Linked DNA regions of Arabidopsis thaliana. The protein of the gene in region 2 interacts with the protein of the main gene of each other region in a pairwise test. Each region holds a gene or a part of one and is shown on either strand. Other genes may lie near its edges. The genes, in order: SUF4 and MAD1.

Region 1 (14,419 bases), on a different chromosome or scaffold from region 2:
TTTTCAGCTAAAATGGATTCAACTGTGTTCATCAATAACCCATCTTTAACCTTACCTTTCTCTTACACATTTACCAGTAGCAGCAACAGTAGCACAACAACGAGCACCACCACAGACTCAAGCTCCGGTCAATGGATGGACGGTCGGATTTGGAGCAAGCTACCACCTCCTCTTCTTGACCGCGTCATTGCTTTTCTTCCACCTCCGGCGTTTTTCCGGACACGTTGCGTCTGCAAGAGATTCTACAGTCTACTTTTCTCCAACACCTTCCTCGAGACATATCTACAACTACTTCCTCTCCGACACAACTGTTTCCTCTTCTTCAAACACAAAACCCTAAAGAGTTACATTTACAAGAGAGGAGGAACAAACGATGATGATTCCAATAAAGCTGAAGGCTTTTTGTTTGATCCTAATGAGATCCGATGGTACCGTCTCTCTTTTGCTTATATCCCTTCAGGGTTTTATCCTTCAGGATCATCAGGAGGGTTAGTGAGTTGGGTCTCCGAAGAAGCTGGTCTTAAAACCATTCTCTTGTGTAACCCTCTTGTCGGATCCGTGAGTCAGTTGCCACCAATATCAAGGCCAAGGCTTTTCCCTTCGATAGGTCTCTCGGTAACACCAACCTCTATTGATGTTACTGTCGCTGGAGATGATCTCATATCTCCTTACGCTGTGAAAAACCTCTCATCGGAGAGTTTCCATGTCGACGCCGGCGGATTCTTTTCCCTCTGGGCGATGACTTCTTCTTTGCCACGGCTTTGTAGCTTGGAATCTGGTAAGATGGTTTACGTGCAAGGCAAGTTTTACTGTATGAACTATAGCCCTTTTAGCGTTTTGTCCTATGAAGTTACTGGAAACCGGTGGATCAAGATTCAAGCTCCGATGAGGAGATTTCTCAGATCTCCAAGCTTGTTAGAGAGCAAAGGGAGGCTTATTCTTGTAGCAGCTGTTGAGAAAAGCAAGTTGAACGTTCCCAAAAGCCTACGACTTTGGAGTTTGCAACAAGATAACGCCACATGGGTCGAGATCGAACGGATGCCTCAGCCGCTCTACACACAGTTTGCAGCAGAAGAAGGTGGAAAAGGATTCGAGTGTGTCGGAAATCAAGAGTTTGTAATGATTGTGTTAAGAGGAACCTCGTTGCAGTTGCTGTTTGATATAGTGAGAAAAAGCTGGCTGTGGGTCCCACCGTGTCCTTACTCCGGCAGTGGTGGCGGTAGCTCAGGTGGCGGTTCAGACGGAGAGGTCTTGCAGGGTTTTGCTTATGACCCGGTGCTTACTACACCGGTGGTTAGTCTTCTTGATCAGTTAACACTTCCATTTCCTGGAGTCTGTTAGTTTTTAGACTTTAAGATAAAGAGACTACTTGTGGTTTCCACTTCTGACGTTAAGACTGCTTGTTGTTTTCTCAAAATTCTGTTTCTTTTATCTTATTACTGTCTGTATGTAGTAAGTTTATATTTCTAATGTCAAATGTCTAATCTTTGACAACATGTCAACAACATATACAGACAGATTTCTAATTGCGTACAATCCAATCCTAAATCCATCAAACTCAAAAACATAACCCTTGGGAGAATGGTTTCACTTGAGCTTAACCTGGAGAATGAGATGAACTTTGCGGTTCATTATTCTCCTGAGTTCTTCATTGGCCTCAATTCCTATCCTCCTGCAAAATTAGCATCAACATAAGATCATCCTTGAGTCATTGATTAGTCAAAAGAATGAATTATGAACGATCTTGTATGCTCTTACCCGATCTTGCAACCGCCCTTGCCTACAAGAATCTTGCGTTGGCTAAGTTTAGGAGTGATGAGATGCTGTTCAATTCTAAGAGACCCGTCACGCAGCTCTTTCCAGTCCACTAGACGGTGCTCCAGACCATATGGTATTTCCTACAATTTGTTTCAATCAATCCTGTAATTTGTCATCTTGGAATAGACGGAAACTGATACAAAATGTTATACTAGTAGAGGTTGTATTATTACCTGATGGACATGGTCTAGTAATCTCTCCCTAACAACTTCAAGAGAAATGTTCTTCAAGACTTCTTCACTCATCGTGAATGCATCTTCTTCCCATGGTTTTTTAACAGCCTGATCCATTAAGTATTGGGAAAGATCTTTCACTCCTGATCCCTTAAGTCCCGATATCATGAAGTATCTAGAAAACCAAACAGGGAAAAAGCACATTTCAATCAATTCGAAGACTTCCCCGGTAATTGTTTTTAAACTGAGTCTGGTATATATATATCCACCTTTCATATGCCGGAAGATCTTGGAACTCCTCAGCAACCTTTAATAGATCCTTTTTCTTCTCAACCAGATCAACTTTGTTCATACATAAAACGCGCTTTTGTTTCGGATTTTCTTCTTCTCCCATGTATTTGATCAAGCGTACCACTCTTGAATCGGGACTAGATAAATCAAAGAGAAAACAGAATTCACAAACTACAAAATAAGTCTAAGAGAACTCTATTTCTACTTGTAATTAATGAAAAACCACAGTCATGATGCCTTCTTCAAAAGAAAGAAATAGATGTGTCTTCCCATCGGTTTACGGTTCTCAAGCTTATGGATAATCTCGGAGAGATGAACAAGATATGAAAGATATCGAAACAGAGAAGCTAGAAATAATAATCCCACCCTAAGATACCCCACTTGATGATGATGCTCATAACCATACTACTCTCAGTTCCGAGATAACTTATGTAAAGCTAACAAAGTACAAAAACTAGTAAACGACTAACCTCATGAGATGCCTATGGACATCAAACATAACAATGAGGACATCAAACAGGTCAACAGAAGTCCAAGCATTTTGCACACGAGCCTTGATGTCTTTGTAACCATATCCGCTTTTCTTCAGCATCAGACCCGGAGTATCGAAGAAACACTGCAAGGTTCACAAATATCAAAAATTCAATCTACGAATGGCTGATCTCCACAACTAACCATAACGAGTAGTTTACATATGCAACAGATATATAAGAGAAAACTTACGACTTGTGTATCTCCTTTTGTCAATACTCCTAACACTTCATGTGTCGTCGTGTTAGTCTTCCGTGAAGCAGCAGCAACCTTTGTTCCAACCTACACTTGGACATAACGAAACACTAAGCATAACTCTCATCAAGATGCAATAAACAAAGATACACAATCACTTCAAAAATTGCAACTTTAGGACTAATCAAGAGTCATAGCAGCACTACATAAACATATACACAATGTCTCAATTGATTCTCAGAGACCAAATCACAGGAATGTGAAATTAAGGAAATGAGCCAACCATGAAATTAGTCAGCGAAGATTTTCCTGCATTAGGTGGACCGATGATGCCGACATTAAGCGACTTCTGATCTTCTTCTCTAACTTCACCTTCACCAAGTTCTTCATCTGGTGACTCTAACGCAGCCTCTAAGAGAGCCTTAGCGAGAATCCTTGACCTATCAACACTATCCTCATCATCTTCAGAACTCTCTTCTTCTGCAACTTTCACTTTACCTTTCTCTGTCAAGTTTCCAAAGAAGGCTTTGTTTACTCTTTCTCTGTACCCTTTATCCCAAGTTGCTTCCTTGGGCTTCTTCACGGAATCTACATTGGAATCGTCGATTGGGTATTGACTACTATCGAAAACAGAGTCGCTGCTTGATCCGTCTTCATTGATGGAAGTGGGTTCGTCTAGATTCGGCTGCGCTGAGTAAAATCGGCGGAGAAAGTTTTGTGCTTGATGGGGATTACGAGGTGTTGTCTTCGTCGTCGTTCGTGAGATGGAAATTAGTATACGTAGAGATCTAAAAGCTTTCATTTTTGTAACAATGGCGAAGTAGCGATCTCGGAGAAGTACAGATTTGAACGAAATGTAACAGAAGAGGCTTCCGAGGGTTTTAGAGGTTTTGATGTTTTGGGGAAGTGGTGACAAAGTAACTCAATATTACAGATAGGCCCCTCACTTTTTGACAAATCCAACGTAGTCCCTAACTTTGTATTCGATATAATTACTACTAGCAAAGTAGCAATACAACAAAAATTCATACTAATCGTATCAATTGGAGTTTGAATATACAGTTAATGGAAGGAATATTAGTCAATTTTGTTTTGGCAAAATATTGAACAACATGGTGCAAACATTTTGGGTGAATCTGTATAATATAATACTTTGATCAATTCAGAAGAAAAGGAGACAAAGTTCTTCCTCCAAGTCTCCAACGACCAAAAAAAAAAAGGACTAAACTTCTGAGAAAAAACATCTCTGAGATCCCTAAACAATGTAATGGTAAACTAACTCACCTGGCTAAAGAATACAACAGATGGAAAGTTAATAACTTAAAATCAGATCATAAATTCAGTATCTGAACAAAAGTGAGTGAAGACTTGTTGTTGTAACAAAGCCTTCATCCATATCGCCTTTTCTTTGACGCTGGTTTGGTTTGGTGCCAAATTCTAAAACGCCATCCGCCCAGCAAGCCTACTCTCTGAGATTCGTCTGTCTATCGCTGCATTTATCGAGTTCATCTGCAAACCAAAAGAAACAAACTTGGTGTTGAGTTAAGAAGTTGGATGCTTTATTTTGAAAGAGTTAAGTGCGTATTGTTTTGGTTCCCCAAGGCAGTGAGATTGTGCAAAGGTACCAAACTTTGCAGAGTTAAGAATATAAAAAGAGCTGACCTGGGTTTGAAACCAAACCTGTAGAGTATGATCTTGTGGAACCAATCACCACATTTTTAATACAATACAATAGACAGGAAATATAATGAAAAACAAACAGATACAAACGCTATGTTTCTCACTACCTACTATTGCAAGCTACAAATGATACCTTTCGAACATTGATTCAAAATGCTCAAGTTTCTTGCCTAAGTCCTTCTTATCATATTCTAAGGGAAGAAATTATAAACTGAATAATACGGTGGTACCTCTTAGCACAGAAACAATAGGATCTGGAACAGAAATGTATAAATAAAGCCTACCGAATGGGTTAGACTTGCAAAAGCAAACTCTTCTTAACTTTAAAAAGGGTAAATCAGAACTTACCTGGCTGGTTTCATCGTGCACTTTGTATTTTGGTAAGGACATTCTTCTTTCCTCCTGCAGATACAGACACATTGCGTCAGATTGGAAAACCAAATGGTTCATTACTCGAAACTTTTCCAATTGTAACCATTCCAACATGATGCATAAGAAATTAGGAATAAACTAACCATAGACATCGCTTCATCATCCCATACAAGATAGACCTCATTAGGCTGATTGCTAGGAGCTTTGTTTGCAATTACAGGAGGTGGACCAATTGAAGGACCGCTAGTGTTTGGGCCAGAGGCATAAGAATGAGCATTAGTCCCACCTACGGCAACAAAACATGAAAAAGATATTACAATTTGATACAAAACAGCTAAACCAAATGTAAGTCAATGATTCTACGAACTTGGGATTGAACCTGGAATAGAATTGTTAGGCGGATAAGCATCTGCTGATCCTAAAGCATCTGCATGAGATGGTTGCTGAGCCCCACCAACAGGCAGAGGAGCAGAAAATGGTGGAGCTTGAGAAGGAATGCTGTTATTCACAACAGGGAACAGAGGTTGAGGAACTGGCATTGCAGGTGATGATGTAGGAATTCCAGGAGGAGTTACTCCAGTGACTGGTGATGGTTGTATGGCAGGAGCTGAGGTTGGAGTTGGAGTCATCCCCATATTTTGAACAGGAAAAAGTGGTTGTGGTCGATACCCTAAATGGGCAGCTGGAGGTACAGAAAGAGCTGGATTTTGAGGATACCATTGTTGCGGACGAGGAGGTGGCATTTGCCATACAGGAGCAGGATGACGCATAGGAGGACCCGGATAATACCTGCTAACACGAAATATTTTATCATGGTCAATAGCCATACATATTACAATATCTAAGATCATGAACTATTTCAAAAAACTGTTTACTACAGGTGTTATTGTGGTCTTGAAGAGGAGCAAAAGAATGGTTCTAGGACAAAGTTCTATCCTGAAAAATCACGAGAACAAGCTAGGGAAACTAAGAACCTTATGGGTCATAGTTGGTTAAGTGCAACAATATCTTAGATAACGATCTATTTCAAAAAATGTTTACTACGGGTGTTATAGTGGTCTTATAGAAGAACAAAAGTAGAAAAGTTCTAGGACAGAGACAAACTAAAGAAACCAAGAACCTTTTGCATCAAGAGAACTAAAAGAAAAAAAGTTCCCCATCATTTAGCATGGATCGGATTTTTAAAAACAGAGACAACATCTAAGAATTCAACAAGTAACGGCCATAGAGAGAGTATAGTATAATTAGTACATACATTGGTCGTGCAGGTACAGCACCAGGTACTTGTTGAGGCGGATATACCATTCCATATGGTCTAGGAACTACACCACCAAGAGGGGCAGAAGGAATCTCAACTTTTGCAACTTTGGCTGGAGGCTCATCCTCTGCAGAAAACATGACTTCAGTTCAAAAGGTACCATATGAAACAAGCAAACATAACAATAATATATAATAACTTTGATAAGGCAAAAAGCCGCATGCAAAATCAAAACGAATTCATGACCACTAGATGCAATAGATCTACAACACTTGATGAAGAGACATACAAATTTATCGCCTTACTTCTCTAAATCAATTGCTCATAATCTAAACAGTACTCTCACTATCTCAAATGCATACCTTCTTCTCCATAATGAGCAGTCAAGACATGGGGTGGAATTCCTTGCATTCCATATATTTCAATATCAGTTGAATCTCGACCGTCTTTAGCATTAGGAACTCTGGTGTGAAAATTGTAGATAATTTCAAAGTTAGTAGTGTCATGGAATCAAATTCCAAATTCAACAGGCAAACACATTGAACAGTACCACAAATTCCAAGAAAAACCTATCAAGCAAAAGCAAAAGCAAAAGACTGTTTCTTTACAAAAATTGCAATCAGAAATTAGGGTTTATGACCAGACATATACAAATTAACCAAACCCATTCAAGAGATAATCCAAAAAAACGATTCAAATTCCAGCAAACATACACAATCAACCGATTCAAACCACAACACAACAGTCACAATTAGCGCAATCTAACAGAAATCAAACGACAATCACACACAACAAGAGCAAAAAAAAAATCAGAACTTGAACAAAGATCATAGAGGCAACAACCCTAATATTCCAAATCAACCTAACACAACAAAAAGAGCCATAGGGAAAGGGTAAAAAGAAAAGGCACATACTTTGTAACATTCTCTTTATGAACCTGAAGAACATGAATCACCATGCCACTAGCTGTAGAAAGCTTCTTATGACAGACATGACACTTAAAGTGCTTAGCTTTCTGATGCTGCACAAGAATCTTCTCATCATCAAACTCTCTATCGCAGTAATAACACCACACCTTCTCTGTAGCTCTCTTCTTCTTCTTACCCATCACTAAATCTTTCTCCTATTTGTTGATTTCAAGATTTGATCTCAAAATTGAAATCTCCAATCTCTCAAAAGTCTCGTTCTTTGTCTCCTTCCTCCGCTCGCTAGGGTTTCTAATTGGTACAAAGCGTTTTCTCGATTTCTTCTACGATCTTCAGATTCTCTGTTTTTTATTTATTTTTACTTTATCTAATGGTTACTATCTTGTATTTATAAGAAAAGGTACTTTCTTGTGTAATATTTCGTAAAGAACCCATAACTCTTGTTTAATTATATATTTTTCCAAAATGCTTAGTAAGTTATATAATGATACTATTAGTATTGGTTATGTTATCCGTTAGGATGGTCAAGTGGTCTAAGAGCAACCTCATTAGACAACTTTTTATAGATGTTTTTAGTATAAATAAATAATAAAATTAAAGACATTTCACTTTTGTTGTGTTTAAAGTGTCTCTACAGAAACACAAATCTCAAACTAAAAACATTCATAATTTTTTTATTATTATTATTTATAGTTTTATATTTAAAGACATCTACATATAAGTGACCAATGTGGATGCTCTAAGGCCTTAGACTCAAGTTTTGGTCCTCGTAAGAGGGTGTGGGTTCAAACCCCACTTCTGACATAATTTTTTATTCTTTCAAGAGTTAATTTTCTTTGTCCAATGAAATCTCAAATTAACTTAATCTCAAATTAACTTAAAATAAACTGTGAGAAAACAGAAGAAGATTAACCAACAAAGTAAGTAATCTCTCTTACAAAGAAACTTTGACCAGAAAAAAGGAATCCATGTAACAGATAAGAAGAAGAGACTATAAGAGCTAAGAATTACATAACTATTAGAAAAGATTATAAATAGAGAAAAAAACAGAAGAAGATTAACCAAAAAAGTAACTAGTCTCTATTACAAAGAAACTTTGACCAGGAAAAAAAAAGAAGAGCAATTCCTATAACAAATAAGAAGAAGAGACGATAAGAGCTAAGAATTAGATAACTATTAGAAAAGATTATAAATAGAGGATAGCTATTCATTATTTCTTAAGTACATGAAACACTTGCAACAACAAAAAAGTTAAAGATATGGGTGCTAAATGGAATTCAATGATTATAATGGTGTTTGTGGTGACAATGGTTATAGCAATGGAAAATGTCAATGGAGAGACGAAAGCTCAATGCCATGAAGATTGCATTCTAGGTTGTGCCACCACAGGAAGAATTCCGATCACGTGCCTTCAGAATTGTTACCGTCGATGTCCCGGCAAACCTCGTCGTACATTAGGTAACCATTTTTCAGAAGGTAAAAACAAACAAACAATCTAACAATTTTGGAAATATGTCAAAGAAAATCTATTTTAATGATTATTGAGATTTTTACTAACTATATAAAATATATTCCCCTTTGTATAAATAAATTTGAAGTAAGTTTGACTAGTGTAATAATAATAATAGATTAACAATGGAATGTTCAAATGATTGAACGGTATGCTAATGTTTCGAAAATGTGGTGAAAAATAAAATAGCAACATAACGTTTTGAAATAGTAAAATTTTGAGATATATTTCGGTAATAAAGTGTTTTAAATCTTAGAAACATCATTGTCACTGTTTAGGTATACATATAGTCCTGAAAATATTATTTTTTAAATTAAACTCAAGAGATTATTTGGAAAAACTAAAGGTTAAAATAATCGATGGTTCTAATTTGTATAGTGGAAGCGCAGAAATAGAAGAGACGATGAGTCATGAATCAGTGTTGGACTCTTGGGACTTTTAAACTAGCTCTTCTTCTACTTTTGTATCCTCCTTATGTAATATGATCATTGTAAATTTGTAACGCTATTAAATAAAATAAAATAAAATTTGTCCCATGTTATAAATTTCTCTTGACTGTAAACACGTCTCTGTTTAACAGTTTAAGACTCCTCTTAGATTCGAATCTCATATTTCATAATTTTGGAAGTGACATGTAGCGGCTTATTGATTTTCTTGATTCATATTTTTTATTTTAGTTATTTCAAAGTGTGATACCTTGTGGATAAAGCAAAATCCATATGACCATATTTACATGAGACAAAAGTGAAACCATCTATGTTCAGCTTCAAGAGAAAAACACTTTGTTTCAATTTATACATTTAAAATAAAACTGCCACTACTACGTTTCTCCTATTGAAGCAAAATTGGCTCTCACTTGTTTTGCCGTTTCTCTGTGCTTAAATCCGAAGCTTTTACATTTTTCTACAACTTGTGCAATGTTTGTTTAATTGTACATTTTAGCTAATGGTTACTCTCTTGTGTTTATAAGAAAAGGTACTTTCTTGTGTAATATTTCGTAAAGAACCCAAAACTCTTGCTTAATTGTATATTTTTCCAAAATGTTTAGTAAGTTACATAATCATATTATTCCACTTCTGGTCCTCGTTAGGATGGCCGAGTAGTCTAAGACTATCTACAATGATTACCTATTTATAACACCCACTTTTTCACTTTTAACACTCCACATTATTTTCTCTCTCTTCCACATCATTATTCAACACCTACATAATTTTTAATCTTACAATAGTTTTGTTTAATAAAATTACAACACCTTACCCCACCATTTTTATTTCATATTTTAACCTATACATTATTTTTGGGTCTAAAAATGGTTTTTTCTGTATTTAAATCAAATGAAAATAGTCTCTGTTTATAGAGAATGAAAATTTATAAAATTTTATATAAATTATATATATATAAATATATATAAATATTATGAAATAATTGAAGTTATATAATTAAGATGAAACAAAAATATTAGAAATCAAAGCAACCAATCAAAATATAACACTTGTCACACTTATCTTCTCCCTTCTACTTTCACGGATGTTAAAATTTATCAACACTAAATTTGCCACATCAGCTACTTTTCAATTACAAAATACCATTATAGTGGAATTTGTTTTTTCACCAGTTGTAAAATGGTTTACAACAAACCATTGTAACTAGTCTAAGGCGCTAGAGTCAAGTTCTGGTCCTCGTAAGAGGGCGTGGGTTCAAACCCCACTTCTGACATAATTAACTTAAAATAGACATACTGTGTGAAAAAACAGAAGAAGATTAACCAACAAAATAACTAATCTCTATTACAAAGAAACTTTGACCAGAAAAAGGAATCCCTATAACACATAAGAAGAAAGACGATAAGAGTTAGGAATTACTTAATTATTAGAAAATATTATAAATAGAGAAAAAAACAGAAGAAGAGTAACCAAAAAAAGTAACTAGTCTCTATTACAAAGAAACTTTGACCAGAAAAAAAAGAAGAGCAATTCCTATAACAAATAAGAAGAAGAGACGATAAGAGCTAAGAATTAGATAACTATTAGAAAAGATTATAAATAGAGGATAGCTATTCATTATTTCTTAAGTACATGAAACACTTGCAACAACAAAAAAGTTAAAGATATGGGTGCTAAATGGAATTCAATGATCATAATGGTGTTTGTGGTGACAATGGTAATAGCAATGGAAAATGTCAATGGAGAGACGAGAGCTCAATGCCATGAAGATTGCATTACAGATTGTGCCACCACAGGAATAATTCCGATCAAGTGCCTTCAGAATTGTTACCGTCGATGTCCCGGCAAACCTCGTCGTACATTAGGTCACCATTTTTCAGAAGGTAAAAAAAAAATAAAAATCTAACAATTTTGGAAATATGTCAAAGAAAATCTATTTTAATGATTATTGAGAATTTTACTAACTATATAAAATATATTCCCCTTTGTATCAATAAATTTGAAGTAAGTTTGACTAGTGTAATAATAATAATAGATTAACAATGGAGTGTTCAAATGATTAAACGGTATGCTAATGTTCGAAAATGTGGTGAAAAATAAAATAGCAACATAACGTTTTGAAAGAGTGAAATTTTGAGATATATTTCGGTAATAAAGTGTTTTAAATCTTAGAAACATCATTGTCACTGTTTAGGTATACATATAGTCTTGAAAATATTATTTTTCAAATTAAACTCAAGAGATTATTTGGAAAAACTAAAGGTTAAAATAATCGATGGTTCTGATTTGTATAGTGGAAGCGCAGACATAGAAGAGACGATGAAGTCATGAATCAGTGTTGGACTCTTGGGAGTTTTAAACTAGCTCTTCTTCTACTTCTGTATCCTCCTTATGTAATATGATCATTGTAAGTTTGTAACGCTATTAAATAAAATAAAATAAAATTTGTCCCATGTTATAAATTTCTCTTGACTGTAAACACGTCTCTGTTTAACAGTTTAAGACTCCTCTTAGATTCGAATCTCATATTTTATAATTTTGGAAGTGACATGTAGCGGCTTATTGATTTTCTTGATTCATATTTTTGACTTTAGTTATTTCAAAGTGTGATACCTTGTGGATAAAGCAAAATCCATATATATGACCATATTTACATGAGACAAAAGTGAACCAGCTATGTTTCAGCTTCAAGAGAAAAACACTTTGTTTCAATTTATACATTTAAGATAAAACTGCCACTACTACGTTTCTCCTATTGAAGCAAAATTGGCTCTCACTTGTTTTGCCGTTTCTATGTGCTTAAATCCGAAGCTTTTACATTTTTCTACAACTTGTGCAATGTTTGTTTTGATTAAAGGTTAAACACATGAACTATAGATGGTTTGATTTCAACCACTCGATGCAAACCAGATTTGGAGGCTCTTGTCATAGCGTAGATCATCAGTTGCTCTGATTGAGGAAAGATGGCTTGCTTATCAATCAATTTTATTAGAAGAGCGGCTGGTTCGGCCTCTCTCTCTCCATGCCTTCTGCCATTTCGTTCGCACCAGATTGTGTATAATGTAGCTTGGAAAACATAACGAGCAATAAAGCTCTCGATCGACTTGATCATGCCATTGACTGGAGACGGAGATAATTAGTGCAATAGTGCTTGCCAGTTCGTTGAGTATCTTGTTTTGTAGATGTTGCTGCATCTAAAGGGAGACATCCTAAGTTTAATTCGACACCTCTATATTAAACTTATGATGTCGCAAGAAGGACTTAGTTAGTTTAACATTAAACCAAAAAAAAAAAAGAAGGACTTAGTTTAACTATTTCACACTATAATTTTTAAAGAAATTTTCACAGAAGTGGCTAAAAAAAAAATTGCTCTCCTGATTTGGCAAAGTGAGATGTGGTTTTCACCATTTGTCTTTTAAATGGTTTTTAGACCAAAATACCCTTAATGGGATCAACCAAACCCCACAGCAGTTGGTTTCGGTTTAGTTTCTATGGTTTAGTTTTAAGAAAAAAAGAAAAAAAAAATGAAACGAAGAAACCAAAGAAGAAGAAAAAGAGGAAGAGAAAGAGATGGAGAGATTTGAAAGAGAAGTAGAAAGAAGTTCAAACTTCATTATTCACTTCTTCATATTTCGACATCTCTCCATTGAACTCCAAAATTGAGGAAGAAATTTCTTGTTTTCAGAGATGAACAAAATGCAAAAACAAATCACAGATTCAAACAATTTAGCTTTTTAAACTAAAGATACTCTAGGTTTACAAGATTTATATATAAATAGTAATTAAAACGTATAAAAATGAGATTTTGAGAAAACAGCTAAAGATGGCCGCAAAATTAGGTTTGCAGAAAAGGATACACAGGTTGAAGATGACTGAAAAATTACAATTATACCCTTCATTAAATTTCTTCTGTGTACGTATATTCAATTTACAGTGTACGTACACAAAGTTATTTAGTCGAACGTATATGGTACGATTTCTAATAAGTCAAGCTATTTTATTACGTATTCTTATATCTCAATAATCTCCATACATACATAATAGTTAAATAGATATAGATGGTGAAATAATATTTGTTCCTCATATTGAAAATTATGTACGTATATGTGTAATGTACGTATATTTTTGTTGGTAAATTAATGTATGTACATGTGTAATAATATACGTACATCTTTGTTTGTAAATTAAATTATTAAGAAAATTTTATTGATACAATATTAAACCAATATTGGCAGTGGGCGAGATATATTCTAAGACGTTCATACGATGTGATTTTGAAATATTCTTAATTCTTGACGACTTGAGCAGTCAAATGTCATGGACAAGTATCATCAACGCATACCATCACCAATCTTGTAGGATATGACCTAGGTTGCTTGTAGCAAAAAGATTGTTTGATTGCGAGATAAGACATTGTTTGTTGTATGACTTTTCTGTTCTTAAAAACACTCTCCAATTTATAGTGTACGTACATTGGTACAAACCATGTTGACACATAGTTCTTGGAGTCACAGCTGGTGTACGGTCACCCGGGTGAGAAATGTTATCTCCGCCAGGTACACGCTGACTTGTGTACGTACACTCTGCCAACAGAAGACTGAATTCCCTTGGATGTTGAACAGTCAGCTGTGTGAGAATGATGTTCTCCTCAACATTCCCTATTCCATATTCTTCTACAATTTCATCGTTCCACTTGTTGTAATCATAATCTTCGCCACTACTTTCACTACCATCAATAGTAGGATCGATGGTACTTCCCTCATAGATCCATCGTCACCCTGATAATCATCATACCCATCACCATCTTCGTTGTCCCCCCCCCCATCTTCATCCTCATCTGTTTTATCGTCTTCAATGTCGTCTTCCTAATCTACGGCCTCATTATTTTCATCAACATTTAAAACACTATCACACACACGGTCACTTTCAGCATCGTCACCATGAGTCCTAGAGACATTATTCCTGAGTGTCTTGACAGTTGTAATGATAGAGACAAACAAGTTGAGAGAAGGATACCCACCACGAATAAAAAAAATTGTATCCCACCCTCACTTGACTGTCAATGTAGACAGGAGGGCGTTTAGTATCTATCATCACTAACATCTCTCTCGGTATCCAGTAACTAATTATGGGATTGATCTCTATGGACTTCAAACATCTCTCTCGGTATCCAGTAACTAATTATGGGATTGATCTCTATGGACTTCAAACTGAAAGTCTCG
Region 2 (16,771 bases):
ACCCCTACTCTATTTTAGAATTACTATATTCTAGAGTAAAAAACATACATTGGAGATGATGGTCTTTTAGCTAGATAGGATTTAGGAGCTTCCGCTTGATCAAAAAAAAAAAAAACAGAGAGTTAGGAGCTTCCAAACAAAGTTCAACTATCGTGAGTACATTAACTCATTGCGGATGTTAATATATCTTAGTTGTGGCTTTCACCATTATACTCAAAATAAAAGAAGTGGAGACACTAAGATGTCGACTGGCCTATCAAATGTTGAAAAACCATCAAAACAAAGATCGAGTTGATTAATAATTATACAGTTGTGGCAGATTTTAAAACTAACCCCACAATCTATTAAAACTTGAGAGTGTTCCTTGGAATGAATTCAACATGTGTATTACAACACAATCAAGAAATTAATTCGGTAGGAAACCATGATTTTGATGAGACAATAAACGATTGGATCCGATCAATTTCCCCATAAATTTTTGCAATAATAAAATATGTCAAGGTCAGGTTCCATAACTAAAGGAAAACAATATCTGCATTTCTTTATCGTGTTTCTCCATCTTGCATGAATAAGAAGAATTGTTAAAAAGTGAATGCATACCTTGTTGATCTAATAACTAAAAAAAAAAAAAAAAGAGAAGGATCAACTGATTTACACCAAAGACATCTTAATTTGATTGGATCTAGCCAGTAGCCACCTCTCATAAAAGTTTAAAAGACTTTCTAACCAATAGATGTTGTTTTTTGTTTTGGTTTTAATGTTAAATCCAATAGATTTTGTTCTTCTCTTGAATTGTGTGATGTTTCAACAAGTCTGGCAAATACACAGTGGTTCGTATAATTGGACGATGTCTACCCTAGTTTGGGCTCATTTGGTTTCTTGTTGAAATCCAGTTTTGGGAACTAAAAATCATTATAAAATTTTAACAACAAAATTTTCATATCTAGAAACTAAATAAACACACATGAGAAGTAAGATTTCAAAAATATCTGTAATTGAGTTAGAATCAAAACAAACTTTACAAGATCATGTGAAAAAAATATACATATATTATTTTTATATAAGTATATCGGACACAGTTGTAAAATTTGAGAGAAATTATTTATGAAAAATCAATTCAAAATAATATATATAAAAAACAAATAGTTTTTTCCCCCATAAAATATCACGATTGTATACAAATTTGTTGGGCAAAAACAATACTATGAAAATTTTCATAATTAGATAATTTATTTATGCAAGTTTTTTTTTGTTATTGACTTTTTTATTTATTTAGAAGAATATATCCTTATGAAAATCATAACAAAGAAAGAGAGTTTAGTTTTGCCTAAATTAGGATCAAATAAAAAAACAAAATTCCTGACCCATACCACTCTACGACCTCCCTCAAAAAAAAACAAAAAAGAAAAAAAAACAATAAAAAAATCGACTTTTTAGCATCTGCTTGAGCGCGAGAGGTTCATGATTCCAGGAATCTCGTGCCCAATTATATAGCTTTCCATTTCTGTGGCTTTGTAATCTGATCGGAAATCGAAAACAAACAATTTTATTTTCTTAAAAAAACAAGATCGTGGAGGAGAGATGGATGATCGGCACGAAGGAGACCATCATGATATAGAGGTTGAAGGAGGAGCTTTACATGGTTTCGAGAGGAAGATATCTGGGATTCTAGACGATGGATCTGTCGGATTTCGACAGCCTCTTCTCGCTAGGAATCGAAAGAACACAACTTCTCAGATCGCTATTGTCGGAGCTAATACTTGTCCCATCGAAAGCCTTGATTACGAGTCTGTCCTTTTTCTCCCTCTTCTCTTTTCTTCTGCACATAACTTGATGTTTCGTTCTTTTTTCTGGATAAAGTTTTTAACTTTGGCAATTAGACTTTAATATGCTTAAATGTTTTCGATTAGTTTTTAAACTTCATCTCAAATTTGATTATGAGTCTATGAAGTTTTGGATTATGTAACATTTTGGGTCCCATCCCATGTATAATTTTTAAATCATAATGTTTTCATTTTTAATACTTTTGGGTAAAAATTGAAGCTTTTAGCTTTTGAGAGACATCATAGCCACTTCACCTAGCAATAGGTATGCTATACAATCTATTAGATTGAGAAAAGTGCAAATCTTTTTGGGGTCTTTATGATGATGCAATCATAGTTTCAGACTGAATTTGACTTTTTGTCTTTGTGTGTGTCTCCTACTGGTGTCTTGCCTAATTTGGTGTGAATGATTATAGCTTATGTAAACATATCAGGATCTTGACTTGGGATTTTTATTTGGCAGGATCTTCGAAAATGATTTTTTCAAGCAAGACTGGAGGTCTAGGAAGAAGATTGAGATACTTCAGTATACGTTTCTCAAATGGGCGCTTGCTTTTCTTATTGGTTTAGCTACTGGACTTGTTGGCTTTTTGAATAACCTTGGTGTTGAGAATATAGCTGGATTTAAACTCTTGCTCATCGGTAATCTCATGCTCAAGGAAAAGTAAGTCTAGCTTTTGTTGTTTATCTCTGCTTCTACGCCATTTTTTAGCACTTTCTATCCTGTTTCAGTTACTGTTTATTCACTGATTATATCTAAATTTCTTAATGGTTAATACTGTTATGAGAATTAAGGCTCACAGGGATATATGTGTGGATCAGAATGATAAATGACATCGGATGTTTCTCAAATACTGCAGATATTTCCAGGCATTTTTTGCATTTGCTGGTTGTAACTTAATTTTGGCAACTGCTGCTGCTTCACTCTGTGCTTTTATTGCTCCTGCGGCGGCAGGATCTGGCATACCTGAGGTTAAAGCATATCTCAATGGTATAGATGCTTATTCAATATTAGCTCCAAGCACCCTCTTTGTTAAGGTAAGATCCCCAAACAACTTTCCAAGCAGTCTTTGTTCATCCTGAATTTAGCATTGATGTCTTTGTTCATCTCTGTGGCCTTTTCTGATACGAAATATTTCGTATTGGTAGATCTTTGGCTCTATATTTGGAGTTGCTGCCGGATTTGTAGTTGGAAAAGAAGGGCCTATGGTTCATACTGGTGCTTGCATTGCTAATTTACTTGGACAAGGTGGTTCCAAAAAGTACCGGTTGACTTGGAAGTGGCTCAGATTCTTCAAAAACGATAGAGACAGAAGAGACCTGATCACTTGCGGGGCTGCTGCTGGTGTAGCAGCTGCCTTCCGTGCTCCAGTTGGAGGAGTGCTTTTCGCCCTTGAAGAAGCTGCTTCATGGTATTTTCTGTTTCTCTCTAACTCCTTATAACTAATCCAAGGAGTGATACCTTATGCAAGTCTAGTCATTGTAGTAGACAGACTCTGAAAGGGGAAGCTTCTCCCCAGCTAGAAGTCTTAATGCAAAAGTGCAAGAAGGTCACCATGTTTGTCTAGTTGAAAACATAATGTATCCAACATGACTTCTTTATGCAAATGGAAGTTAGTGAGCGAGGAAATCTAAGTGATACATAGTGTAGAGTTTAGACGGTTTGCGTATATTGCTATATCCATTTGGAAAAGATTATGTCTCACTTTTTTAATATCGTTAGGTGGAGGAATGCCCTTCTCTGGAGGACATTCTTCACTACCGCAGTTGTAGCAGTGGTCTTACGAAGTTTGATTGAGTTCTGTCGCTCTGGGAGATGTGGACTGTTTGGGAAAGGAGGTCTCATCATGTTTGATGTAAACTCGGGACCAGTGCTATATAGCACTCCAGATTTGCTAGCAATAGTATTCCTTGGAGTTATTGGTGGTGTGCTTGGAAGCCTTTACAACTACCTTGTGGACAAAGTCCTCCGCACATATAGCATTATAAACGAGTACGTCATTTCTCAACAAGTTAACTCTTTCATAAAGTCATTTTCCAACGAGTTACTCTTTCATAATATCATTTCTTTGCCTCTTTTCGATTTTCTTAATTTGTTCTTTCCATAACTTGCAGGAAAGGTCCGAGATTTAAAATTATGCTTGTAATGGCAGTTTCCATTTTGAGCTCGTGTTGCGCATTTGGTCTCCCATGGCTTTCACAGTGTACTCCATGTCCTATTGGCATAGAGGAGGGAAAGTGCCCTAGTGTAGGTCGATCCAGCATCTATAAGAGTTTCCAGTGTCCTCCAAACCATTACAATGACCTTTCCTCCCTACTTCTCAACACCAATGATGATGCAATCCGTAATCTTTTCACATCCAGATCTGAAAATGAATTCCATATCTCTACCCTTGCCATCTTCTTTGTCGCAGTGTACTGCCTTGGCATCATAACATACGGCATAGCCATACCCTCTGGGCTTTTCATTCCTGTCATTCTTGCTGGAGCCTCTTATGGACGACTAGTGGGTAGACTGCTGGGTCCAGTATCTCAGCTTGATGTAGGTCTGTTTTCTCTGCTCGGAGCTGCTTCCTTCCTTGGAGGCACAATGAGAATGACGGTCTCTCTATGTGTTATACTGCTCGAACTTACAAATAATCTCCTAATGCTGCCACTGGTGATGCTTGTACTCCTTATATCAAAAACGGTTGCAGATTGTTTCAACAGGGGGGTCTATGACCAGATTGTAACAATGAAAGGACTGCCTTACATGGAAGACCATGCAGAGCCGTACATGCGCAATTTGGTTGCAAAGGACGTAGTTTCTGGAGCTTTGATATCCTTTTCGAGAGTTGAAAAGGTTGGGGTAATATGGCAGGCTTTAAAAATGACAAGACATAATGGTTTCCCTGTAATTGATGAGCCACCTTTCACAGAAGCTTCTGAGCTATGTGGGATTGCCTTGAGATCTCATCTCCTTGTGCTTCTCCAAGGGAAGAAATTCTCGAAGCAGAGAACAACTTTTGGTTCACAAATTCTGAGAAGTTGCAAAGCCCGTGACTTTGGTAAAGCAGGGTTAGGTAAGGGGCTCAAGATTGAAGATTTGGATCTAAGTGAGGAGGAGATGGAGATGTATGTTGATCTCCATCCCATCACTAACACATCTCCTTACACTGTGCTTGAGACTCTGTCTCTAGCTAAGGCGGCTATTCTTTTCCGGCAACTTGGTCTTCGCCACTTGTGTGTGGTGCCTAAAACACCAGGGGTCAGTCTCTTTCTCGCTCTCTCTTCCTCTCGCTAGACTTGTTTATGTTTCTAACGCGTATGTTTTCGTATTGCAGAGACCGCCTATTGTTGGAATACTGACAAGGCATGATTTCATGCCGGAACATGTCCTGGGACTCTACCCTCACATTGATCCCCTCAAGTGAATAAGGTTAGCCGTTTAGTCTTCGTTGTTGCCTGCATTTGGTTGCTCTAATTGTTTTCTAAATCCAATTGGCACTTGTTCTTGCAGGTAATAAAGAATGGAGAAACAAGTACGTGAGAGTTCTCTAAAGATCTACAATGTAATAATATGTGAATATCAAAAAATTAAAAGCCCAGATGACCAATGTCACTTAGGCATTTATTTCAATTATTCGTTGAGATTGATTATGGAAAAGCAGGGGAAGGATGATTGTGTAATGAGGTGATACAAGTTTTTTTTTTTTGGGTTTTGGTTTTCACAACATTTATTCAAAACAATAAATAAAAACTAAACATGTAATTATATTATAAGTCGATATCAATTTTGCTCTAATCTTCTTTACATGTAGGTAGTCTGTGTATTATTTGTGTTTTAAATTCATGGTTATATAAAAATCTGTTTGCTTGATATTCAAGTGTTACTGTTTTTGGTGACTATAAAGTAATAAACGCATAATCAGAGAATGACATTAGATATTCTTTCTGAGTAAATCGAAACTAGTTTCTTTCATACCAAAATAGAGTTACTGACACCACAATTATAGCAGACATAACGAACCAGAGGTAGACATAGATAAGGCCAGTGTTTTAAGCTGCGGCTTTCGAGTTTCAGTTTCTATTCAGCAGGCTTTAGAAATATACAAAACACAGAGTTGGAAATAAGGACGCAGTGCTCTCAATATAGCGTCCGACGGTTGAATGATTCCATCGTTAAGTTGGCTGTAAAAGCTGGAATCGAGTTGAATTTCCTGATGAATATTTCTATCTGCAAGAAACACACAGAATGAGTTTTTACACTTCACTGAGAACACTGCGCTTATGAAGGAAGAAAACTATGTCTGTACTTTACCTGCTTCGCTATGTCGCCCTGAGAGGCATACTCATTGTTCTGAAGGAATTAAATCAGTATCAGTTGATTAACTGATTCAAATGCAGCATATCAAAGTTATACAATTTACAAGAATCACTTACTAGAATACTGGTGTTTCCTGACTCGTATTCAAACTCGAGTTTTTCATCATCACTTTGAGCATATATAGACTGGAGAGTAAACCGAGTCACTGGGATTCCATTGGGACGCTGATGTTCGTCCATTACAATCTGCCAGAGTTTTCAAAAGGAATTCACAAGTTTACAAGTTCTGTAGATGAATAAGACTCTTTGATCATCTATCTACACGAATAACGGAAGGTAAGGAAAACTATAGATAGCAATAGCTGAATCCCTCTTTGCAACAGAAACGCGCAGTTCATAGACCGTAAAAAATGGACAAAAGTACGAACATTACATTTTACAATGTGATAGTCAACATTCAGAAAACTGAAATATCCAGAATCATTGCCTTCAGGGAACCATTGTAATGCTAAAGAATAAAATTTGAGTGCTACGACATAATTATGAGCAAGTGGCATACCTTATAACCAAAAAGCTCACAACAAGCCCTTCTAAACACGGAAATTCTATCAGCAAAAACAGTTTTGTACCTGTTTCATAATTCATAGGCTCCACATATGTTTTAGTATGGGAAATCAAGGTCATATTTGCACAAAGGACATGTTAAACATTTATCAGTAACAAACCTCTCTTCACGTTTTTCAAGCGTAGCATTTTGCTCTTTTAGTTGAGCAATCTTTCCAGTTATATGAGAGTCAACTAGCTTCCCAGCATCTCCTGAATATTCATGAAAAAGAATTTACAGTAAAGCATATTTAGTAAATAAGAATAACATTTTTGAAACACTACAATATTTCTTCTCAAGTCCTCCGGAGGCAGATCAACAGAAAGATTTTGGCCCTCCCTTTTATTCTCGGAAACATAGAATATGATGTAGAGAATAGGGTCACAGAGAAATTAAGGTATGCTTCTCCAGTGAATTTTGTGGTGAGAGTAAAATTGAATGGTAGACTTGTAGCAAACTCAGTATCAAAAACAGGAAAGGTCGACAATCAGAAATTTACCAGACTGGCTCTTTAATTCTTCAACAGCTTGAAGTCTTTCTTTTGTCTTCTGTAACTCAGCTTGTAAAGCCTCTATTGTTTGTTTTGCCTCGTTTTCAACACCAAGAGTATTCACCATGCGCAAAACCCTTGTATTTGCGGCAGAATAATCACCATGACCCAGCTGCCAAATATATGTTACTGTTCAGATCAAACTCTAGGGTAGAAGTTAGAGGTCCTAAATAGCATTTCTATTCGCTTTTACAATAATAAAATCTTCCATGAAACCTAAGAAAAACATAAGATGCAGGACATAAAATTCGCCATTCACCCTTAAAAACTTTTATTATTCATTTCGACCATGGCAGATGAAAGTTCCATAAGCAAATATTTTCTTTGGCAATCTTTTTTACAAGCACACATCTCTAGCATCTGTACCTTTGACTCCAGTAAAGAGATCTCAGAGCGAAGACGATCACTATCCCTTTCCAGCGACTTATTCCTCCTTGCTTCATCAACTAGTTTCTCATTTAGAAGTTCTATTTCAGTACGTTGACGATTATTGACATCCTTCAGTTGATTTAGATCCTGCTCTAAATCCTTAATATAGTTCTCCTTCTTTGCAAGAGAAGATTCAAACCCCTGTATATATAAGCAAAATAAGCTTTATGCTTCCAACAAAAAAGAAGGAAAATCTTCAAAATAAGAACTGTGTTATTCTAGAACCTGAATAAGGGCTCCATCTGCGGCTCCAGACACAGATCCTTCACTGTTTGACTTCCTTAATTCATTAACAACAGCTTTCAACTGTTCTTTCTCCTCCGTGACCAAAGTGAGCTTTATTACAAATTAAAGCTCTGTTAGTAATAGTGCAACAAACTGATAGAAAATTATAAAAAGTTACCTCCAATGAGACACTATAAACTTAATTCCCTTGAATTGTGATAGATTCATGATTAAATAAAAAGTTGTTTGCAACAAATTCTATACTACACACATTATCTCTTATCCTGAAAGGACACTATATTATGGATAAATCAACTCATCATAAATTCGTGATAGACTCATGTTTGGATACGAAGGAATTTGCACCAAAATCTAACAATTGAATACACTCATTAGGAACAAACAGACTTTCCCCACATATATAGAGATATTAAATCTGTACTAATTGATAACAAACCCAACGTGAACATCCAAAAATACTAGGGATATTATCCTATGAATATCGTCTCTAACTATATTACTTCTATCAGCTTCTTATGAATGCATAGATCAACAATCAACATGAAATACAGAGCTGAGCTAGTATATATCCAAGCAAAGACAGTGAACCTAGAGAAACCAAGCAAACAATCAATAAACAAGAATAATGAATATAAAATGATGAGCATTTGAGTGTCACCAATTGAAAATGCTATCCTTTATCTCTCGAGAATCAAAAATCAACTTAAGAGGCTTTAATTGATGCCAGCAAAATAAAAGTGCATTTGTGACCCCTTACAGAGCACCAGCAACAATTTTCAAACTTACCATTACTTCAATTCTCTTCACGTCTGTTTTGAGAGCCTCAGATTTCTCTTTCGCTAATGCAGCCTCACTTACAGCATTCTGTCTGCCAAGTTGTATAGCCTCCAGTGTCTCCTCCAGTTGTTTAATACGGGTACTTGCTTCCCCAATCTTCATAGTGCTTTGAACCACCTCACTTCAAAGGCAGAAACACAAGTCACTAGGAAGTATCATAGATACATGTGTTAACTCAGAGTGCTTGGTAAACTAGAAATCAATACTCTAGATGCTCACAGACACATTAGACCTGCTAGACTAGCAAGCCAGAATATCTGTAAAATATAAAGCCATATCTGGACAAAGTGGTGTTACAGATGTCTCTGATAAATACTATCTAGTTCACCTATAAAGTCAGGAAAATGCCCCGTAACAACTACCTCAGTCTCTCCGCACAGAATATTTCATGGCAGGCATAATTATTTGAAACAATATCAGAAGAAGACTCTAGTGAAAAGATAAATTCTGTATAGATCATGTTGACATACTTCTGTAGCACCGAGAATCTCATAACTATGTCATCAGGACAGGACACACCAGGAATGTCATTTAGCAATGACTTCCAAGAGGACAATTCATTCTCCAACTTTTCCATGCTTAGCTGCAAGTCATGAAATTTTGATAACTCTGACTCTGCCCTCTCCCTACGGCTTTGTTCTTCTAATAAGTTCACATTCAACAACTCCGCATCTAAATGCCGTGATTTTAACTTTCTAGCTTCTCGCACTTCAGCTTCCTGATACAATTATCAAGAATCAAAATCGACAAGAAAAACAAAAACTAAATAGATATTACATGGAAAGTATAGAAGTCGAAAATAGAATCTACAAATAGTACATGTCTTCAAATGATGAAAAGTATGTGAGTCGAATTTACGATCAAATTAAAATTTGACTTGCATAACTAGTGTTACATGAAAAATACATCATTCTATATTACCTCACTTTTCTTGAAAAGTAAACTCTTTTACTTATGAATTGTCTTAGATAGCCTAAGTAAATAAGACGACCATTTTAAGAAAAAAAATTTAACGAGTGTTTTGAGTAAATTTCAAGTGTTTAAAAACTTGCATAATCTCTCTCCGTGATTTGCTGCTTATGAGAGTAATCAACAGAAAATAGAAATCATTGATTCTGGGTATGTAATGCAAAGTTTCTCATGGTAATCAAGAACGAGTACAGCTTCTATTGGTGAATAAAACAGAGAGTTATGATCAATGTCCTGACCACTTTCATACTCATTTTCAATAAATGATTCATCTTATGTAACAACTTTGTAAAATCATTACTCGGGTAGACTAAGAACTGGTAAAACTTACATAGCGTTTAAGTTCTTCCTGAAGATGTTTAACCAATACACTGTTATCTGAAGAAGATGCTGCCTCCGAAGTGAATGACGATAGCTTCTTGTCTACTTCAGTCTTTTCTTGCAAACACTGCATAAAAAGAATCATATGAGAAAGCAAAATAAATTACCAAAGCAAATGATGACTTATGACTGGTGTTATTATTATCTAAGATGCACGTCAAACATAGCTTACCTCGTCAAATATCAGTTTAAGATGCTCCAGTTGTGATCTTAAAAGATTTGATTCCGTCTCAGCATTTTGTGCCCTACATTGCATCCTTTCAAGCTAAAAGCAAAGGAAAACAGGTGCAAATACGATAATTGCATGAGAAACCAAAAACAAAACTTCAGTCAAGCTATCAAGTTTCTTAATCGATACTTACATCTGCACCAATCCTAGCCACAGAAAGCTTTGCTTCTTTACCCAGTTGAGCAATATCATTGTTGAGACGTTTCTTCTCCCTGTCCACACTTCCAGATAGCTGAGTTAGTTTATCCTCCAAAAGTTTAGCTTTTTCCTCAGCTGTTGCAGCAGAAGACTCCGCTTTCTTTCGAAGGTTCATTTCATTTTGAAGTTTTACCTATAAGGATTCAGTTAATGATACTGGCACCAATGACACCAAGTAAAACGAGAAATTTCAAGTCAATTTAATAGTTAGATCAACCTCCAGTTCATGGCAAGATTGTAGTTCTTTGGTATACCGCTCTTGAGAATTGTTGATCTCCATAAGAAGCTGCTCCTGAAGCATTTTCTCACGCGCTTTAGCAGCAGCAAGCTCTTGCTCTGAGTATAAGAATTTATCTCGAAAATGCTTTCTTTCAGCATCTGTTGTAGAATATCAAAATCAAATTCGTTAACAACAGTTAAAGCAGAGACATTCGGAATCAAGACCTTTGTAATTTCGAATTCACAAACGATCTCTCACCTGCTTCGGTGAAGTTGGCATTAAGAGTCTGTAATTTGGTTTTAGATTCCTCAACTTGTTTCTCTGCTGTGCTCAAGGCATCTAGAACATCAGCTTTAACCTAACAACAACAAGAACAAACCTCAGATTCGCTAATCTTCGTGAGGGGATATAGATAGATAGGTATAAGTAGTGACCATTTGGCGGCATTGATAGGTGCAAAGATGTTGATCCGCCGAATGATCATGAGAAGTTTGTAGCGGAGCAGGAGCAGGAAGAGGAGAATCTTCGTAGATGATTAGCTGATTGCCGGAACCAGTAGCGCCGGTGGGGAAGGGGCTTTCTCCGGCGTCGGACCTGAGCCTCTTCGGCTGCGGAGTTCTCAAAATCATGTCTGCGTCGAGAAATTAGGGTTCCGTTCTCCGGGAAGCGAGAGAAAAATTATTAGGATTTGAAAATTGAAATTGCAGAGGCGCCACTTTTTTTTCTCGAGTTTGATGAGAGAGCGTAAAGACGGAGGAGCTAGGCCGTGGAAGAAACTGGAAAGGCTTTTCACAACTATTAAATTATTAATCCTTTGTTAATATGTGTCTATTTTGATATATGATTTTTTGCTTTGTTAATTAATGTCTTATACGAAATTTTGTATGAACAAGATGATCAAACTGTTGATTATAATTTAAATCTTTATAAATTTTGGGTTATTAGATTCATCCTACTATATTATTTGGGAAGTACATTTTAAATATAACTTTAATTTTTGTAAGTAATTACATAGGTATGTCATTAGAAATAAAATTTTAAAGAGTAAATTAATTTATCTCTTTGAGGATTAAAAAGTCAAATACTAATTTAATTAATTAAATTTAATTAAAAACGAAATACATTATTAATTTCCAAAAATAATAACCAATCAAAATCAACATATAAGATTTGATATCTAAATTTTAATTAATTTAATTTAATTAGAAAAACAAAATACATTATTAATTCCCAAAAAAGTAACCAATTAAAATCAACAAATTAGATTTGATATCTAAATTATCATATTAATTTTTTATTAATTATTATAGTTTACTTCTCATCTTTATATGATTCTATTTTTGCCGAAAAATAATATCATCATTATAGAAAAATAATTAGAGTTTTTTCGCATATGCCATAATTTGAATTTTTAAAAACGAATATAAACTGTTCAATACATGAAAAAATATTATAACGGGTGAAAAATAGATTTAAGAAAACTTTCTACTGAGTAACATGTCATAATTTGAAATATTTATATTCAATTTCATACATATTATATTGAAAATTTATAATCTTATATACTACAATAATTAATAACATATTAGATGTGATTCAATTTTTAATACAAGCTGGAAAATCCTAGAATTGACGGGATTAGATCGATATTAATACAAGATGGTATACTACAGGTGAAACTCTTAAATTAACAATCAAACTACAAGTGTATAATCTTAAACACTAAACAATATAGATAATATCAAAAAATATATACAACTCACAGTTTACTATACATTTAAAATCAAATAAAATAATATCATATATTTTTAAATCATCTTTACAATAAAAGTTTTTAGTTGAACTAAAATATAAGCCTACCTGCGGTATACTGCAAGTTAATATCTAGATTACAGGGCTTATTGGATCTAAAGACAACTCATCAAAGATTTCCTAAACTGAAGCAAAATATACTGAATATTCAAATATCTATCTGTTACCAAATTATAAACAAATAAGTTCGTAAAACAATTTAATATTTTATATACGAAATCAACTAAATCTTAATCACATAAAATTAGCACAAAAAAAAAGTATTCAACAATTAAAAATTTATCAAATCTCTATATAAGTTTTGATACTATATTCGAATAAAGTGTAATATACCTTTTCAATTTGTATTCTTTAACTAATTTAAGCGAACTAATATATTTGCTAATCATATACCTATCAAAACCGACTATCGTTTCTTATCTCTATAGTATATTTGCAAGACTTTTTTGGTGGATTTGGATAAAAGTGCATATCGTCCTACTATATTATTTGGGAAGTACATTTTAAATGTAACCTTAATTTTTGTAATTAATTACATGACAATGCCATTAGAAAAATTTAATCAAAAACAAAATCTTTTAATGACATCATTAAGATTACCAAAATCATTTAACGACAATATTCATCTCTTAATTATAGGGCTTATTGGATTTAAAGACGGGTCATTAAAGATTTCCTAAACTGAAGCAAAATATACTGAATATTCAATTATCTATCTGTTACCAAATTATAAACAAATAAGTTCGTAAAACAATTTAATATTTTATATACGAAATCAATTAAATCTTAATCACATAAAAATTAGCACAAAAAAATATGGTACATTCGGGTCTATAGTAGTTTTGCAAGACTTTTTTGGTGGATTTGGGTAAAAGTGCATTCGGGTCATATGGTACATTCCCCTATTAAATAAATATGGTGCACTCCTATGTTATTAGCTAAAATGTTTAGATTATAATTCAGACTTATATCATAAATAAAATCAATATTAATAAAATAAATGGCTTTTTGGCAAGACGGATTTGGAGGAACGGGTTTTTGAATCAACATTAATAAAAAGTAAAATATAATTAATCCACCGTTTCAATACAGGTTAAATCTTTGATTTATTATTTTTAATAAAAAAATAATATATATAAATACTTAATAATAATTATAAACTGTAAAAATATAAATATTTTATAAAAATAAAATTTGCAAGTTTTAATATATATTACTTTTAAAAAATAAATCATCTCGCGGTATATTAAAATCTAGTACTCTTATAAAGTCATTAAAAGTGTAGTGTTATTCAATTAAAATAAAAAATCTTTAATTGTTAATAATTTAAATTATTATGTTATAATATGTAAGCTCTTGTAATCAATTTGTAAGAACCATTGTATCATATTCATAGAACTAAAACTCTTTTTTATTTAAACATTGTTAATGTCATAAAATCGTAAGCATTATTTGGCTGCTTCTTAAATTTTTTGGTATTTTTAAAATTCTAATGGAAAAGTTTGAACATTTTTTTGGCTAATTTTAAAAGTTTGTGATTTTCTTGGCCAATTTCTCAATTTTCTGGTATCGATGAGCATTTCTTCTAGTCCTCTTCATAGCAAAAGTGGAAACCTCTATTATCTATATATACATTTTTTTCAGCCATTTTAATAAATAAATCCTGGATTTGGACTTATTTACAACTCAATGCCATTAGCATTAAATCTTTTTTCCAAAATAATTAATTTTATTTTAAATTCTTGATTGAAATTGTCAACCACATTATCAATCAAATTTAATCCAAACAAACTTTAAGTCAATCCCTTAAAATTAGCATAAACATATTTGTTAACAATATTTTAAAACAAAGTTTTTTGTTAAAAAAAATATTATTCTTACTAAATATTTTTTGTTTAAATATATAAATCATGTATTTGAACTTATTTACAATCTCATGACACTGACATTAATTATTTAGGAATGAAAATATTTAATTAAAAATTTAAATCTTCTAAATCCTTGCTTTTAGAGTTATTATGTCATTACCTAAAAGGTTCAAAATATAAAAAAAATAAATATTATTATTTAAATATTAAAAATTTATAAAACATTATTAATATTTAAAATTATAAAAAGTTTAATATATCATAAATTTTAACATCTTTATATAATATATAGAGTTTAAAAAAATCTCAATTCTTTCCGTCATATTTTGTGATTCAAAATTTTAAAAATAAACATATATTAACCAATTGGCAAAAAATGTGTGAATTTGAACGTCCCACATCGACTAAAATATTTAGACAATGATTCATAAACATATCATAAATAAGATTAACATTAATAAAATAATAGTTTTTTTACGGGACGGGTTTGGCGAGACGGGTTTGGAAGGACGTTACTTAATAACAATTGTAAATTATAAAATAAAAATATTTTATAGATAGATACAATTTAAATTTTTTTATATATACTAACTTTAAAATATAAATTGTCTCCGCGGTGTACCGCGGGTTAAAATCTAGTTCTGTAATAAGAATATAAGATTATTACTACATTGAAGCATTTCTTTTTCGGCCATGGATTAGTTCGGTGATCTACTTGTAATCCTCATAGTTCTGCAGCTTGATATGGGTTTTCTCGGCCTAAGACTAATAATTGGCTACTACTATACACATCAACACTACTAATTGGGTCTAAGACTAATTGTCTACTACTATCCACATCAACACTACTAATTGTTTACTACTACTTATTGTGTACTACTAAGTTATTTTGAGCACTCTCAAGCTATCTACATCAACTTTTTAAAAAAACTCTCAATAGGTCATTAACTCTTCAGAATTAGCCACGTCATCCCAAAAAAGTAGAAAGAAATCGCCTCTTTCTCTCTCCATAAGAACGTATCATTCTCTCCTTGGTTGCCACATGGGAGGCAAAGCTCAATTTCACGGGTTTTCCTAAATCAGTTTTTTTATTATTAAGGCTCTGTTTGTTTCATCAGTCAGATGGATCATCTCGATGGAGATGAGTTTTGATGTTCGTTTAGTGCAAAAAACGGTTCATTCAGATGATCCATCCAAATGAATCATTTGGATGAGTTTGAAAATTTAGGCTAAATTTTGAAACTCATTTGGCTGAACTTAATTGGATCATTTGGATGTAGATGATTCAGTCAAAATTAACAAATGACAAAAATACCCTAATTATTTTAATTGATTATTTAGATGTATTTTTTAGATAAAAACAAATAGACTTAAATCTTATTTTCCAATTATTTTTTAAAAAAATAAAAAAAAAATTTCCGCTAAAACCGCAAAATCAAAATTTTCCGATAAAACCGTAAAATTCCGTTTTCCCGCTAAAACCGTAAGAAAACGTTTTCCCGCCAAAACCGCAAAATCGTTTTTTTCCCGCCAAAACTGTAAAATTTCGTTTCCCGCCAAAACCGTAAAAACACGTTTTCCCGCCAAAACCGCAAAAATCATGTTTTTCCACCAAAACTGTAAAATCATTTTCCCCCGCCAAAATCATAAAATCATGTTTTCTCGCCAAAAACGTAAAATTACATTTTTCTGCCAAAAACGTAAAACGTAAAATTACGTTTTTCCGCCAAAAACGTAAAATTCTGTTTTCCGCCAAAACCGTAAAATTCTGTTTTCCGCCAAAATCGTAAAATCGAGTTTTCCCGTGAAAACTGTAAAATTACGTTTTCCCGCAAAAACCGTAAAATAAATTTATAAATGTAAAAAACTATCATTTAAAATTTATTTACTTTTAAATTTTTTTTAGATTAAGAATTAAAATTAATATGTTTACAAGTAATAATAAAAATATAATTAGATGAAAGCATTGGTATTTTAGGTATTTGTATTATTACAAATTATTTGAATGGAGATAGAGATAAGCAAACGAACAACATGTCATTCGGATGGTCCAGTTAAAGGAACCTACTAAAAATGAAAAGAAAAAGAGTCGAATAAATCATCTAGATGAACATGTTGAATGGATTAGTTGGATGGATCTGTCAAATGGAGAAACGAACAGGGCTTTATTATTATTGGGAAACATCTTCTAACTCCCTATCAGTTACGCTGAAATTAAGTCATACCCCCATCAAAAAACAATGTGAGCTAAATTTATAGTCGACGTGGTGCCCTTAATAAATAGTATTAATCAATTTCTG

Evidence for each region.
Region 1: the proteins of MAD1 (region 2) and SUF4 interact in a two-hybrid assay, tested with the Arabidopsis thaliana proteins (one study listed by BioGRID).

What each region holds. Positions count from the first base shown.
Region 1 is NC_003070.9:11,036,168-11,050,586, forward strand, and holds SUF4 (zinc finger (C2H2 type) family protein), read right to left. Parts: upstream 7,607-14,419; 5' UTR 7,427-7,606; coding exon 7,233-7,426; coding exon of another isoform or gene 7,229-7,232; intron 6,782-7,228; coding exon 6,681-6,781; intron 6,446-6,680; coding exon 6,316-6,445; intron 5,850-6,315; coding exon 5,440-5,849; intron 5,347-5,439; coding exon 5,204-5,346; intron 5,091-5,203; coding exon 4,893-5,090; 3' UTR 4,518-4,892; coding exon of another isoform or gene 4,446-4,517; 3' UTR 4,108-4,445; downstream 1-4,107. Other genes in the region: UFO (F-box family protein), read left to right, coding at 13-1,341; AT1G30960 (GTP-binding family protein), read right to left, coding at 1,588-1,672, 1,759-1,898, 1,992-2,166, 2,261-2,419, 2,753-2,898, 3,006-3,095, 3,292-3,810; AT1G30972 (Plant thionin family protein), read left to right, coding at 8,504-8,743; AT1G30974 (Plant thionin family protein), read left to right, coding at 10,864-11,103. UniProt on the Arabidopsis thaliana protein: Sequence-specific DNA binding factor that recognizes the 5'-CCAAATTTTAAGTTT-3' sequence. Recruits the FRI-C complex to the FLC promoter. Required for FRI-mediated FLC activation, but has no effect on the expression of MAF1, MAF2, MAF3, MAF5, UFC and CO.
Region 2 is NC_003076.8:20,276,954-20,293,724, reverse strand, and holds MAD1 (mitotic checkpoint family protein), read right to left. Parts: upstream 11,615-16,771; 5' UTR 11,421-11,614; coding exon 11,226-11,420; intron 11,150-11,225; coding exon 11,050-11,149; intron 10,950-11,049; coding exon 10,789-10,949; intron 10,705-10,788; coding exon 10,507-10,704; intron 10,410-10,506; coding exon 10,317-10,409; intron 10,212-10,316; coding exon 10,095-10,211; intron 9,513-10,094; coding exon 9,265-9,512; intron 8,916-9,264; coding exon 8,744-8,915; intron 8,048-8,743; coding exon 7,937-8,047; intron 7,853-7,936; coding exon 7,649-7,852; intron 7,395-7,648; coding exon 7,232-7,394; intron 6,945-7,231; coding exon 6,854-6,944; intron 6,758-6,853; coding exon 6,688-6,757; intron 6,375-6,687; coding exon 6,246-6,374; intron 6,163-6,245; coding exon 6,124-6,162; intron 6,040-6,123; coding exon 5,950-6,039; 3' UTR 5,641-5,949; downstream 1-5,640. Other genes in the region: CLC-C (chloride channel C), read left to right, coding at 1,582-1,787, 2,287-2,487, 2,684-2,861, 2,973-3,235, 3,547-3,816, 3,939-5,070, 5,147-5,236. UniProt on the Arabidopsis thaliana protein: Required for the execution of the mitotic checkpoint which monitors the process of kinetochore-spindle attachment and delays the onset of anaphase when this process is not complete.